Linked DNA regions of Caenorhabditis elegans. The protein of the gene in region 3 purifies or fractionates together with the protein of the main gene of each other region. This does not show direct contact. Each region holds a gene or a part of one and is shown on either strand. Other genes may lie near its edges.

Region 1 (5,510 bases), on a different chromosome or scaffold from region 3:
AATGCGCTCTCTTCGAAGTCGTATTAGAAGAAAATGAAATGCATAACGTTATTTTTCGAGATAGTTTTTAGTTCACTCAATAATATTTTTCTTTCCACTTTTTGCTCGTTTGGCTCTCAATTGTTCAATATACAGACTCAACGTCCAAGTTTCCTTTTTAAATTTATCAGAGTTTGATAGTGGTACTATTACTAGTGATAAAAGTAAGCAAACATTTACAGTTGACCAATTGCAAATTCCCAGAGCAAAATGTGTTCTCTGTCTTTTTTCAATCATTTGCCCTTTACACTCCGGTATCGGTCACTCCTTTCATCTGGTCTATCACTTGTGGTATTTCTCTCCTGTTTTGATGTACTATGTTATATTGATAAAATTCAAAGAAAAGAACGAAAATAATTAAATGAAGTTCAAAAAAATTGACGCAAAAACGAAAAAGCCACGATATGGGAGAAGCCAATTTTTCATATTTATTTCTCGCATAAAAACAACATTATTTCTCCATTTGGACCGTTTCAAATGACACCTGTAGGTGTAATTTTAGGTGTAGGTGTAGCCACGTAACCAAGAAATATGGGTATGTTTTTTCGTAACTTCGTCGTGTTCCAATTGTCTTGAATCTCTTTTAAAGAACATTCTCATTTGTTCCATCATGTTGCAAAACAACAGGTGTTCAGAAAAGCTCTCCCAGTTTGACCTTTGGCCAAAATTGCGGAAAATTTACAAGCGTATTTTCTACAGTCGTCTCACACTAACACTCATGTAACCACTCTTAATTTTCGAGTCTCAAACAGCGAGGAAGTATTTTGTGATCTTCTAGGGTGGATCTACTTCAAATCGATAAATATTATGTGTGTGACATTTTAGAGTTCTATGTACGCTCTTTTATTTTCAATTTGTTTGGGGTTTCTTTGAGCTGACCGCTTCTTTCTTTTTGTCACTAAAAGCTTTTATAATATTGCATTCATTTCATTTCACTCGTGAGCGTTTAGCCCGCCCTCTATTAACAGTATAAAGGGAGAACAAGAGGCCCCTGGCTTCACACTCTGGTTAATCGAATTTGATTGAAAACTTGACCAAAAGCGAGATTTTACTATCCCCTACCTCTGTTGTAAAAAGAAATTTACATTCCATTTTTTTCATAAAAAAATAAGCTTCTCCCATAAACAAACTAAAAGTACAAATGCTCACTCCTAGGGTGACATGTGTTCTTTGTCTTTTTTTCAATCATTTTCCCTTTGCACTCTGGCGCCCAGTCGTCCCTCTACTATCGGTCACTCCATCCCTCCCACCTCTCTTATCATCTTTTTTTCGTCGCTTTTCGTCAAAAAACTTGATCGTTTAGTTCGGCATTTTGCAACCGTGGTCACTCTTATCCATTGTTAAGTTGCTCTTTCAAATAATACTGTCATAGGTGGCTGACATGTTCCAAAACTCTATTTTAATTCAAATCAATACATGTGCTCATCGACGATGGTCTTGGGGGCGGAGCTTCCTCAAATCGATAAACCCTACATTCCAGCGTTCTGCGGTCTTTCAAAGAACGTTCTAGGTCATTCTGCAAAAACACACATCCACAATGTTTATCTCGTTTCTATCTCAGTGGGCAGGAACACCAAATTCAAAAATAGTGTCTTGTTAGTAAACACCCTTACTCTCCTCCATCACATGTTTTTCTCTTTGTCCATTTCTCTCTGGTATTTCTCGAATTCTCTGCTTCTCTGCGCATATAACTGCGCGTTTGCTCGTTTTGACATGAAAATACTTACTATCTTATCCACTGGTTTTCCTATACAAGCTAGACAATAATATTTCTTATCAACTAGTTGTATGTATCTGTACAAAAGGGCAATATGGTTGAACTGTAGACTCCGATTTTCACTACTTTTCTCTTTTTTTTTTAGTTTCCATAAAACCTTTCGATTTTTAAACTCGACTAAAGAAATGTTCTTCCAGTTTGGTTCGAATGCATTGGGAAAGTATGAGAGCGACTTTGCATCTCGAGGACGGGTCCACTTTTGTGGGCTCCATTTATGGAGCAACCAAAAGTGTAGTTGGAGAAATTGGTAAGTTTTCATCAAGTTTTTATTAAAATTTTATTTGAATTTTCAGTTTTTCAAACCGGAATGGTTGGTTATGTGGAATCTCTTACCGATCCATCATACGCCAAGCAGCTTCTCACACTTACATATCCACTTATTGGAAATTACGGAGTTCCATCTGCAGAGATTCTGGATCAGTTCAAGCTACCAGCTGAATTTGAGTCTGACAGGATCTGGCCAGCAGCTCTCATTGTTGAGAAAATTTGTGTCGATGGAGAACACAGTCATTGGCAAGCAGTTCAGTCGTTATCAGAATGGCTCAGAAAAGCTGATGTTCCATGTCTTTCCGGAATTGATGTTCGCCAATTGGTGAAGAAAATCAGAGAGACTGGAACAATGAAGGTTAGTGATACTGTAGTTGGGTTAAAGCATTTTTTAAAAATATTTTTCCAACATCATGTTTTCAGGCGAAGCTTGTGATCGAATCAGACAATGCACAAAACTTCGACTACGTTGACGTCAATGCTGAAAATTTGGTTGACTTCGTGTCGAGAAAAGAGCCAGTTGTCTATGGATCCGGTGATCAAACCATTCTCGCAGTTGATTGTGGTCTCAAGAATAATCAAATTAGATGTCTCGCAAAACGAGGATTTCGTGTCAAAGTGGTTCCTTGGAATCATCCAATTGATACTGAAAGTGATTATGATGGACTTTTCCTTTCCAACGGACCAGGAGATCCAGAAATTTGTGCACCACTGGTCGATCGATTAGCCAAAGTTATTGCAAGAGGAGACAAACCAATTTTTGGAATTTGTCTCGGACACCAAATTTTGTCTAGAGCTATCGGAGCGAAAACCTACAAATTGAAGTAAGTTTTACCAATTGATTTGAAGATATTTCAATTATCATAACAAAAACCACTAAAAACACATGCATCAATTAGTTTGAAGATTAATTTTTTCTTTTTAATTACAACATTTTTTTCAGATACGGTAACCGTGGTCACAATCAGCCATGCACTCATTATGCTACTGGCCGTTGCTACATCACTTCTCAAAATCATGGATACGCAGTTGATCCAGATTCACTTCCAGCTGATTGGAAGGCACTTTTCACGAATGAGAATGACAAGACCAACGAAGGAATTGTGCACTCGTCTAAACCATTTTTCAGTGTTCAATTCCATCCAGAACACACTGCCGGGCCAACTGATTGCGAGTTTTTGTTCGATGTTTTTGCTGATTCTGTGAGACAAGCAAAGAGTGGCACATTCATGAAGTTAGTTTAAAAATATGTTAACTTTATTAAAAGTTTATTTTCAGTGTCGATCAAGAGCTCACTCGTCTTATGACTTTCACTCCCATCTATCATGCCAAAGAACAGAGAAAAGTTCTCGTTCTCGGATCAGGCGGTCTCACTATTGGTCAAGCTGGAGAGTTTGATTATTCTGGGGCTCAAGCTCTGAAGGCATTGAGAGAAGAAGGAATTCGAACAGTTCTCATCAACCCAAACATTGCTACAGTTCAAACCTCCAAAGGCTTTGCTGATTTCACTTACTTCCTTCCAATCACTAAAGAATACGTTACCGATGTGATCAAGAAGGAGCGACCAACTGGAATCTTGTGTACCTTTGGAGGTCAAACTGCTCTCAACTGCGCCATCGACTTGTATAAAGATGGAATTTTTGAGCAATACGATGTGCAGGTAAATACGAAACTACTTGATTAAGGAAACTAAAAGTTATATATTTTTCAGGTTCTTGGAACTCAAATCAACACAATTATGAAAACAGAAGATCGCGATTTGTTCAATCAAGAAATTTCGGCTATTGGAGAAAAGGTTGCACCAAGTAAAGCAGCGACGACCATGGAAGGTGCCATTGAAGCAGCTGAAGAGTTGGGTTATCCAGTTCTTGTCAGAGCCGCATATGCTCTTGGTGGACTTGGATCAGGATTCGCTGACAACCGGGAAGAGCTCATTGCAATTGCTCAACAAGCTTTAGCACACTCAAATCAGGTTCTTGTTGATAAGAGTTTGAAAGGATGGAAGGAAGTGGAATATGAAGTTGTTCGGGACGCTTACGATAATTGTATTACCGTTTGCAACATGGAAAATGTGGATCCACTTGGAATTCATACTGGTGAAAGTGTTGTTGTTGCACCATCTCAAACTCTTTCTGACAGAGAATACAATGCTCTTAGAACATGTGCAATCAAAGTTATTCGGCACTTGGGAATTATTGGAGAGTGTAATATTCAATACGCTCTGGATCCGTATTCCTTGACTGTAAGTTTGCAAAAGCTTTGAGTTAGAGAATTGTATTAAATTTGTATTATTTTCAGTATTACATTATCGAAGTCAATGCACGACTTTCTCGTTCTTCTGCTCTTGCCTCAAAAGCCACCGGATACCCATTGGCATATGTTGCTGCAAAGTTGGCATTGGGACAACATCTGCCAGTCATCCGAAATAGTGTCACTGGAACCACAACTGCATGCTTTGAGCCAAGTTTGGACTATTGTGTTGTGAAGATTCCTCGTTGGGATCTTGGAAAATTCGCTCGTGTCAGCACACAAATTGGAAGCTCTATGAAATCAGTTGGAGAAGTCATGGGAATCGGGAGATGCTTTGAAGAGGCTCTTCAGAAGGCGTTGAGAATGGTGTCCGATCATGCTGACGGTTTCTCTCCATACACATTCAGTCGTCCTACAACAGCTGATGATCTTTCAAAGCCTACAGATAAGAGAATGTTTGCATTGGCACGTGGAATGTATTATGGAGACTTTGATGTTGAAAAAGCTCACGAGCTGACACGTATTGATCGTTGGTTCTTGTTCAGAATGCAGAACATCGTTGATATTTACCATCGCCTCGAAAAGACTGACGTCAATACAGTATCTGCTGAACTGCTCCTGGAGGCGAAACAAGCAGGATTCTCCGACAGACAAATAGCAAAGAAAATCGGAAGGTAAATACTCTTACCCTTCTCTGCTTTGATTTTTAGCTCGATATCTAAACAGTAAATTAAAATTTCAGCAACGAATACACAGTTCGCGAAGCTCGTTTCGTCAAAGGAATCACTCCTTGCGTGAAGCAAATTGACACAGTTGCTGGAGAATGGCCTGCTCAGACAAACTACCTCTACACAACATTCAATGGAATAGAGAATGATGTTTCATTCAATATGAAGAACGCTGTGATGGTTCTCGGATCAGGAGTATACCGAATCGGTTCTTCAGTTGAATTTGATTCTTCTTGCGTTGGATGCATCAGAGAGTTGAAGGCTTTGGGATACTCTACAATCACCGTCAATTGCAATCCTGAAACTGTTTCTACGGATTATGATATTTGTGATCGATTGTATTTTGAAGAGATTTCTTTTGAAACCGTTCTCGACGTTTATCATTTGGAAAAACCAAAGGGAGTGATTCTGGCATTTGGAGGTCAAGCACCGAATAACATTGCGATGAG
Region 2 (5,221 bases), on a different chromosome or scaffold from region 3:
GTAGGATTACTGCAGTTTAGGAAAAATTGACTTTTTGTTTTTTGATGTGATTCTGCTTTGGGGTTAGTGGAGGGATATGGTCGGGGTACTGTAGTGGTACTGTAGGGGGTACTGTAGGAGTACTGTAGGATTACTATAAATTAGGAAAAATTGAGTTTCTGTCTTTTGAAGTTATATTGCTTTGGTGTTAGTGGGGGTTATGGTCGGGGTACTGTAGTAGTACTGTAGGGGGTATTGTAGAAACGCGGTAGGATGACTGTAGTTCAGGAAAAATTGACTTTTTGTTTTTTGAAGTAATATTGCTTTGTGGTTAGTGGTGGGATATGGTCTGGGTACTGCAGTAGTACTGTAGGGGTACTGTAGGAATACCGTAGGATTACTTTAAATTTTGAAGAGATATTGGGTTGTTTGTTGGTGGGGGTTAATGTCAAGGTACTGTTGTAGTAATATAGGGGTACTGTAAGTATACATAGGGTTACTGTAGTTTAGGAAAACTTTAGTTTTTTCTTTTTTGGGGTTAGTGACCCATCGTGGCGAGACCCATAAGTTTTGGCGGGACTTCAAATTATTTGAGAACAATTTTTTGGCGGAAAATTCAAATTCTCTGAGAAATTTGTTCGGCAGGAATTGAAATTTTTTGAGTAAAAAAATTTTCTAGAAAGTTCTGGAAAGTTTCCGAAGCTTTGAGGACTAATAATTGTTTTTTATTGAAAGACACAACTTACCCATTTGTGCATTAGCAGGTAATAGAGAAGGTCTTGGAGTTGCAAATCCATTAAACTGATTCAACCTTCCAGTAGGTGCCCAAGACGGTGGAGTTGTCACCTCCAAATCGTGTAGTTGGCATTCTGAAAAATCCCGAAAAAAATTTTTTTTTGAGAATATATTGGTTAGCACATTAAAATTTTTGTAAATCTTGAAAAATGTTAATCGCAATTTTTTTAAACTTTTAAGTTACTTTGCAAATCGGCGAATTGCCGGAATTGAAACTTTCCGGCAAATTGCCGGAATTGAAAATTTCCGGCAAACTGCCCAAATTGAAAACTTCCGGCAAATCGGCAAAATGGCAAATTGTCCGAATTGAAAATTTCTGGCAAATCGGAAAATTTAATGTTCCCACATTTATTTTAATTAAGCAAATTCTATGAAAATATTAAGGAAAACAGGAACAGACTTTCAAAAAAACACAGTTTTAAGTGTTTCCGTCTTATAAAAAAATCGCTCTAAACATTTTCGGCAAATCTGATATCCGGCAAATCGGCAAATCGGCAAATCCCACAAAAAATCAGAAGCAAACTAGAGTCTAGTTAAGACTCAATACAAACTACATACTCCTTGACTAAAAACTACATTCAAAAATTAAGAAAGGAAATTAATAAACTTGTTAAATAATCTCTTAATTTCTACTTCAAATTTTTTTAAAATAAAACCATCGCATAAAGTGAATTGAATTCCGATCTAATTTCACTTCTATCATCATCATCATGAATCAATTGTCCTTAATTTCCCCTCGGTAAATACCGTTTAGCCCTTTTGCGGATATAATGGAAAGTGATATTATCTACTCATCAAGCAATAAAAAAATAATGTAGAGATGGTCGAACATAGATTTGAAGTTTATGGTTTATCGGAAAAACATGCTGGAGTGCATATTTTAATGAAACATTTGTGGTAGATTGTAAAATTGAATAAAATTTTCAATTTTTTTTTTTTAATCCAAATGCATTTTTCCAGCTTTATAGATATAATAAGAGAAGAATTAAAATTGAGGTAGAAAAAGTTTTGAAATTATATATATATAAATATATACGCATATATACATACAAAGGTATGCACAAACGGTTTTTCTTGAATTTTGGACTGTGTTCAATTAACCATAACTCAAAAACTAGAAATTATTTTCGAAAACCGTCAACTAACAAAATGTTGGTCATGATATTTTTCATAATACCAGTAAAGTATTATCACACAAAAACTACACTAAAAAAGTTACGGCGGCAGACATATGGCGGGTCGGTTTTGACCTTAAATTTTAAATCGTCGTAAATTTTCCAAAGTCTATTAAAGTAATGATTACTGAACATTATATTATTTAGTTATAAAGTTCGAAATTCTAATTTTTACACGTTAAAGGAAGTTATTATTAGTTTGAAAATGATCATTTAGAAATTAAAAAAATATTCAAAAATATCCAAAGTTTTTAAATTACCTATTTGCCGATTTGCCGGAAATTTTAAATTCTGGCAATTTGCCGGTTTTCCAATTTTTCGAAAATTTTCAATTCCGGCAATTTACCGTTTTACCGATTTGTTGGAAATTTTCAATTCGGGCAATTTGCCGGAAATTTTCAGTTCTGGCGATTTGCCGTTTTACAGATTTGCCGGAAGTTTTCAATTCTGGTAATTTGCCGGTTTTACGATTTGCCGGAAATTTTCAGTTCCGGCAATTTGCCGGTTTTCCAATTTGCCAGAAATTTTCAATTCCGGCAATTTGCCGGTTTTCCAATTTGCCGGAAATTTTTAAAATACTTGCTATTAGTTATATTATTATTTAAAAAACGCAAAACTATGTACCAGTTTGTAAAAACTTTCTTAATAATTTTTGTATAAGAAACTAGAAATTAACACAACGAAAAAATGCAAAATTATCGAAATTTTGTTATACCTACTATTAGTTATATTATTTAATTTAATTACAACTATGCAAGAGATTTTGAAATAAAAATTTAAAAAGTATTTGTTTATTCATGCATAACTATGTATGATATTCAAAATCGTCAAAAAAACGTTAGCTTATTACGGGAACACAAAATTCTGAGAATGCGTATTGCACAACATATTTGACGCGCAAAATATCTAAACTACAGTAACCCTTTAAATGACTACTGTAGTGTCGATTTACGGAGGTAATTTATTAATCGATGCATTATTGGGAGAAAAAAAATAGGAAGAACATTGAATATCGCTGTCACCATTTTAATAGAAATTTCGAGCCCGTAAATCGACCTACAGTAGTCATTTAAAGGGTTACTGTAGTTTAGATATTTTGCGCGTCAAATATGTTGTGCAATACGCATTCTCAAAAGTTTGTGTTCCCTTAATAAAGGTGTTACATAATAATATTTACTGATAAAGTATGAAATACATTTTAAAATAAAGGTGTTATTATCAATAATTTTAGCCAATAAGAGTTTGAAAATTAGTAAAGAAAATTAGTAAAAAACTTAAAATCTGTTCAAAATTTAAAATTTAAAATTTCCTACTTACCTAAAAAGGGAATAATGAGTAATAGGAGTAAACGGAGCCGTAACATTTTTTTATTTATCGAAAACGAGAAATCAATTAGTTTCTCACGGGCGGCCGAAACTTTCAATTCTTCTCCTTATTTCTTTCGTTTGTTGGGAGGAGAATCAAGAATATCGGTCAGTTATCAGACTGAATCCAGGTCAAAGCTTCGGAAGAAGGTGAAAGGTTTTCGGAAAGCAGCAGCCAGCAGCAGCCATCATATGCAACTGTTTTAATTGATGGAGATAAGGGAAGAGAGAGAGAGGGGATAAGGAAGCGCGGGGAAGTTTTTTTTGTTGTCCGTGGGGTTAGTGTGATCATCACACTTTTACTATCTTACTCGGAAAACAATTCGTAGTTCTGGCCTTTCTCATCGAATTTTTCGCGCTCCATTGACAATCGCCCGCCGGACGGGGAAAGTCGTGTACTCCACACGGACAAATACATTTAGTTTTACAACTAAAATCGAGCCGCGACGCGATACGCAACGCGACACGCAACGCGCCGTAAATCTACCCCAGAAATGGCCGAGCCAAAATGGCCTAGTTCGGCGAACTATTCCATTTCAGTTTATGAGGGAAGCTAGAACCGCGTGAAAATATTTTTGCGCCAAATTTTTTTTTTATTTTAAAATTCGTCTTAAAAATACAAATTTGAATTTTGTGCAAATTCTCTCGGTAGATTTGAAATTAGCGCCAAAATTTTTTGTAAATATTTCAGCGCGAAATTTTTTTTCCAATTTTGTTTTTTTTTCAACGACACTCCGCTATTTTAAAGGCCCGCCCACGATTTCATTTGCACAGAAATGCGTCGGCCGCGAGGCTTAAAACAGCGGAGTGTCGTTGGTTGGGTCGTTGTTTATTTTTGTGCGATCGTGTTTTTTCTATAATATTAGAAAAAATAAACATTCTGAATATTCACGTGGTGTCAGGTTGTCCCATTACGGTTTGATCTACAAAAAATGCGGGAATATATTGCCCAAAAAATGTGACGCCAGAACGTTCTTAACCATACGAAATCAGTTGAGAACTCCCGCTTTTTTTGTAGATCTACGTAGATCAAACCGAAATGAGACACGAAATGAGTTCGTAAGCGTTCACTGTTTCCTGTAAGATCGATTGAAAATTTCCGGTAAATCGACAAACTGCCGGAATTGAAATTTTCCGGCAAATCGGCAATTTGCCGAAAATGAAAATTTCCGGCAAATCGGCAAATCGACAAATTGCCGGAATTGAAAATTTCCGGCAAATCGGCAAACCGGCAATTTGCCGAATTTGTCGACAACTCAATTTGCCGCCCACCCCTGCTCCAGAACTAAAATGCTTGCTAAAAATGCTATATTTCAAACATTCTATATATATTTATTTATGCATTTTCACAACAGGAAAACTACACAGAAACCCATAAAATTCCAAGAAAAAAAATTGACGAGAAACCGAAACCGAGGGGCAAATAGGAAATTATGGTCCATATGTATTTAGGAGTTGAGAGCCAGAAGACGAGCGTTGAGCGGATTTTCCGGCGATTTTTGCCATTCTTTCTTGAGAATTTGCTTCAATTGCGACAGGCGGAACGTTGGATGATTCAGTTTTAGCTCGGGGAGCCGAGCTTCTTCGAAGGCCTGGAAAATGGGGAATTTAAGGGATTTTTGGGGAAATTTACTGAAATTTTATGTTTTTTTTACTCTTAATTTAGAAAAAAATGGAAAAATCGCAGAAAACCGCAGAAAATTCTCGAATTTCGGAATTTTCGATGTTTTTTTTCAAAAATTATTTTAAAATTGAACAAAAATATTTTTTTTAGAAATAGAAAATTGTAATAATAAATTTTAATGAAAAGTCTATTGAGTTTAATTTTCAAAAATTTTGAAAAAAAAATCGCTGAAAATTGCATAGAAAATTATTTTTAATAATTAACATTTAGTAGATCAAAAATCG
Region 3 (5,081 bases):
GAGCAATCAATTTTTCTCCATTGATAAACACTCCTCTTCTAGCACATGCACATAACGAATTTTTAAATGAAAAGGTTTTTCTGAGAGGTAATAACTAGATGGATCTAATTTTTCATATTGACTATGATGCTTCCAGGTATTGAAATCTACCAAACGCTGATCAACAACGTGGCCAATGTCAACGAATGAGCGTCTTCTTCATCACAATACTCGCATTTTCTTTTTTTTAAGCTTGTATGAATAAATGTGTGAAAAAGTTAAAGCTGAAATGTCACTTCTTTTGGTAGAAACTAAAGAATTTCCCGCATCCAATAAGTTTCAGAAAATTTGATCGTCTCAAAAATCGCATCCGTGGAAGTCGGAAAACCCGTGTGAATTCTCTCACTGGATCAATTTTTAAAAATAAAATATATCTTATCTATGAGACTCTTTTTTTGGTTTTGGTAAGTAAATCTTATAATCTTATCATTCGTCTGGGAACGGAAGCAGACAAGAAAAAAGAGATACAAAGAAAAAAAAAAAAAGTTTTGAGATCAAGGTCAACTATCATGACCGATCATAGACGTGACTTTGACAATACTTGGAACACACTTTTTTTAGAAGCTAGAAAAATAGATTTGATAAAAGTACATTGAAAAATGTATGAAAAAAAACGATAAAGATAACAAACAGCTCCTGATTTTATATTGACAAAACTATGAGTATTATTTCAGAATATTACATGTTGGTAAAGAAGTCCTTCCAGATCGTTCATAGTTGAAAAATAAATTGAGACAAACAAAATAATAAGTAGTTGAGTTAGATTCTGGGGCTCTAGTTTCCGGCATAGAGAAATCATAATGAGCTCTATAAAATTGAAAGGTTTTATACTTTTTCAAAAATTAAATATATTTATAGTTTTTGGATCTTTCGTTGGTGCTTGTATTAGTCAGTTACGATCAGTAATTCTTCTGGTGATTTGTTACGATAGAATATTCGTTGGTATCGAAATTGAAGTAAACAATTTTCAAATTAATTTGTCCTGTATCAATTTGTTCCAGAATCAGCTTTTATCATCTTTTTCTATGAGATCTAGAAAAAAACAACCCAATGGAAAAATGTGTATTTTTCCTTAAAACACTTGAAGATGAGAATGTTTACCATAAGTGTTTTTTAGTCTAGACATTGAATGATCGTAATTGAGAAAATTATTGGATCTTGTCATCTTCAAATCATCATTTTTCATATATTTTATGGGAAATCGCAGTTGACAAAAGAATCAGATGATAAGAGACACACAAATGGTTCGTTGAACAGAACACATTTATGTCAGGTTTGATCAAAACGGTGACCAGGGAATCAATTCGTGAGAAACAGTAAATGAGACGAAACATTGAACAAATTGAACTTTTTAAAAGGCCAAAAAAAAGAGAAACAAGAAACCAGGCAATATGCATTTTTTAAACATAATTAAACTACATGGTGCAAATTTGATAAAACCAAGACGATGACAGTCTGGTGTCAACTTGAAGCAATCAGTGCAAATTATTCAATTAAAAAACGTTAGTAGCTGATGTAAACATTCTTATATAAATCTGGGCAAAATTTTGAACAAACAACATCGTCAGAGCTTTCAAGCTTTTAGTGAAATTATATTAACGAGAAAATAAGATAGTATAAGCTTAAAAGTAACACTTTGTGCACCTTTGTGCGGCCCTTAAATGATGGGCAAGTCTATTAAGGTCCCATTATAAAAAATTTTGAAAACATTTTTAAATTGTTCAAAATTACTAAATCTCTGAAAAACTTTATCTTCAATTATCAGTAAAGAAATCAGTAAAAACAGTTAATTTTCGAAGTTTCATACATTCGGATGTATTATCGTAGCTGATCATATTTGATATCGAGATGAGACAAACGACCAACTGTCTAGAACGTTTTTAGAACCATATGATTGTTTGATCTTCTGATTAAACGTGACTTGATTTTCATTTAATCACGATGAAGAGCATTATAAATTGATTAATAGTTCGCAGGAACGAATTTTTTGATATGTGTTTTTAATTGAGAACGTTAAGATATCTAATGATATATAGACCCCTAAACTTTCCGGTCAGACAATTTGGAATTCTTGTAGTTTCTTATCAGCTTGTACTTCCAATCAATCACTTCCTGGTACCACAATTCTTTTCAAAACTTTTTCTACTGTATTGGTTCTCATGTCAAACTGATGACTGGACTATGTTGTACTTAGAAACCAGGTATTGTGTTCTTTCTTTTTATTGTCCACCTTCTGTCACATTGAATTGATAAGATATAATTATAAAAAAACGGTTGCCAACTCTTTTTTCGATCAAATTTGTATAAAAGGAGGAGCGCTCGGAAAATTCAATTCATTTGTGTTTATCATTTTCTTGTGCACTTTTCCAAAACGAGAAGCTATTGAAAAATGAGCGAGGAGCACATTGCAGTCACTCGATTCCGAGAATACCTTCGGGTTAATACAGAACAGCCGAATCCAGATTACGGTAGGTAAACCTTTAAATTGAGAAAGATTGGGAGCTAGATTTTTATACCATACCAATATTTAATTGACATGAAAGTTAGGTTAGAAAGTGGTGATACATAGAGAATGTACATGTAGTTTCCTTGATTCATAAATTTCAGTGGCCTGTCGTGACTTTTTGTTCAAATATGCGGATGAAGTTGGAATTGAAAGGAAAGCTGTTGAGGTATTCAATGTTAAATTTTATTAAATAATGAGAAAACTTTCAAATTTCCAGACAGCTCCAGGAGTTTATTTCGTAATAATGACGATCCCAGGATCTCAACCAGAATTACCTTCAATTATGTTATATTCTCATACTGATGTAGTTCCAACATTCCGTGAGCATTGGACTCATGATCCATATTCTGCATTCAAAGATGAAGATGGAAACATTTTTGCTCGCGGAGCACAAGATACAAAATGTCTTGGTGTACAACACGTTGAGGCATTCAGGAATTTATTTGCAAAAGGGGCAAAACAATGGAAAAGGACAATTCATGTGGTGTGGGGTCCAGATGAGGAAACAGGGCATATAAATGGAATGAAGGGATTTGTGGAGACGAATGAGTTCAAGAAGCTTAACATTGGGTTTTCACTTGATGAAGGTCATGCATCTGAAAATGGCGTATATTTGACTTTTTATGCTGAAAGAGTAACCTGGTGGCTTAAAGTAACAGCTCCCGGAAATCCAGGTCATGGATCTCAGTTTATGGAAAACACCGCAATGGAGAAGATTGTAAGTTAAATTAATCTTTTCTGTCAAAAAATTTACATTACATGTTTTACAATTTTTTTCCAGGAACGTTTCCTTGCAAGTGCAAGAGCATTCCGAAACGAGCAAAAAGAATTGTTAGAGAAAAATCCTACCTGGGCTCTTGGAGATGTTACGACTTTGAACGTGAATATTTTGAAGGGTGGAGTTCAATTCAATGTGATTCCCGAAAAGTTTGAAGCTTGTAAGTTTATCTGAAAGTGAACCATATATGTAAGAGCTCAATTTTCAGATGTTGATATCAGATTGACACCAAATCAAGATTTTGGTGAAATTCGTGCAAAATTGGATCAATGGGTGAAAGATGCAGGAGAAGGTGTCACTTATGAATTTTCTCAGGTTAGATCTAATGATCACGAATGGCTTTTAAAATAGCTGTATTTTCAGCATTCCGACTACAAACCAGTGTCTCCACATACTCGAGACGATCCATTTTGGGCTGCATTTGAAGATAGTTTGAAACAAGAGTTAGTGTCCCCATTCAATAATTTTGATTAATAAATTTATATTTCAGGAATTGTGAATTCACCACTGAAGTATGTGTAGGATCAACTGATTCCAGATTCGTAAGAAAGGTGATTTGGCCTGAGAAATTTCATATAAATTCGGCTCATGTTGAAACATTTTAGGCTGGAGTTCCTGCTATCAATTTCTCTCCAATGATCAACACACCTGTCCGAGCACATGCCCATAACGAGTTTTTGAATGAAAAAGTATTTTTAAGAGGTAATAATTTGTTTTCTCAATCGAAATACAATATTCTTTTTCAGGAGTTGAAATCTTCGAGACACTCATCAACAATCTGGGAAATGTTTGATATATTTGGAATTAAATAAGTAATCCATAATAAATCTATTCCGTAAATATATTGCACATACGTTTTCCTCCATTCGAATTTAATAAAAGTTCATTGGTTTTTTCTTTGAGTTCCAACAATTGAAAAAATTGGAGTGAAATAAACAACTTCAAAGTAGATTTCCCTAATAACAAGGATTATAAATTAATAATAGATGAGACATGAAAAGTATATTCGAAATTTAAAAAAAATGGAAAATTAGTGTTACAGCGTAACATGGTCTAGCATTCCCGACTTACCAATTGAAAATTGTTTATGCGGAAACACGGTTATTTACAAACGAATAAACAATTATCACACATTGAAAATAATCCTTTTTATGATATTTTAGATAGTTCAGAAATAAAATCGATAGTTTCAGTCGAAATTATTTTATTTTCAAAAATATATTGTAGTTGCTGAAATATCGAAAAACTTGCAGTGCAGCAATATTGTTATAAATATTTGTATTCTTGTTTCCAATTTAATAACACCATTTCGCAAAATCCAGGCAATTCCGGAATCAATAAATGTTCTCAACTAGAACAAGACGGAGTTTTTTTTCGACATTATAATTTAAACTTTACAGTCATAGAATGATTCCATAGTTTTGTTCCAACTATGCAAGAGTACCGGCAGAGCAGTAGTAACTCCACTTTGTTCAAACTGCGACTTTGTTCGGTTTTTTCTTTTGGAGGATAAATGAATAGAAGTATTTTCTAACAATCAAAATGTTGAACTATAGTTTTTTATAAAACACTTATTCACTTCTGGAATGCTTTTGTGTGTTCCATAAGAACAGGAACATAAAAAGTTAGTTCCGGGTTCATTGTGATCTATGGTTTCATTTTTTCACCGTCTTCTTTTTTTAAAAATCAAATTGGTTACGTGCCAAGTACCATATATAATTAATCAAAATTTATTGGTTTTGTTCACAGAAAACCGAT

What was found. Proteins that work in one complex are often made in the same cells at the same time.
Region 1: the proteins of C10C5.4 (region 3) and pyr-1 fractionate together in Caenorhabditis elegans (co-fractionation; one large-scale study listed by BioGRID). This does not show direct contact.
Region 2: the proteins of C10C5.4 (region 3) and Y73E7A.8 fractionate together in Caenorhabditis elegans (co-fractionation; one large-scale study listed by BioGRID). This does not show direct contact.

Annotation. Positions count from the first base shown.
Region 1 is NC_003280.10:8,649,156-8,654,665, forward strand, and holds the start of pyr-1 (Glutamine-dependent carbamoyl-phosphate synthase), read left to right. Parts: upstream 1-1,953; 5' UTR 1,954-1,978; coding exon 1,979-2,063; intron 2,064-2,109; coding exon 2,110-2,441; intron 2,442-2,506; coding exon 2,507-2,907; intron 2,908-3,026; coding exon 3,027-3,317; intron 3,318-3,361; coding exon 3,362-3,743; intron 3,744-3,794; coding exon 3,795-4,325; intron 4,326-4,381; coding exon 4,382-5,007; intron 5,008-5,075; coding exon 5,076-5,510.
Region 2 is NC_003279.8:1,632,905-1,638,125, reverse strand, and holds the start of Y73E7A.8 (Mucin-5AC), read right to left. Parts: upstream 3,558-5,221; 5' UTR 3,313-3,557; coding exon 3,267-3,312; intron 849-3,266; coding exon 726-848; intron 1-725. Other genes in the region: Y73E7A.1 (Coiled-coil domain-containing protein), read right to left, coding at 4,762-4,905.
Region 3 is NC_003282.8:9,376,234-9,381,314, forward strand, and holds C10C5.4 (N-acyl-aliphatic-L-amino acid amidohydrolase), read left to right. Parts: upstream 1-2,318; 5' UTR 2,319-2,428; coding exon 2,429-2,507; intron 2,508-2,646; coding exon 2,647-2,711; intron 2,712-2,762; coding exon 2,763-3,263; intron 3,264-3,326; coding exon 3,327-3,483; intron 3,484-3,531; coding exon 3,532-3,638; intron 3,639-3,686; coding exon 3,687-3,766; intron 3,767-3,813; coding exon 3,814-3,874; intron 3,875-3,928; coding exon 3,929-4,025; intron 4,026-4,069; coding exon 4,070-4,116; 3' UTR 4,117-4,219; downstream 4,220-5,081. Other genes in the region: C10C5.3 (N-acyl-aliphatic-L-amino acid amidohydrolase), read left to right, coding at 1-87, 137-189.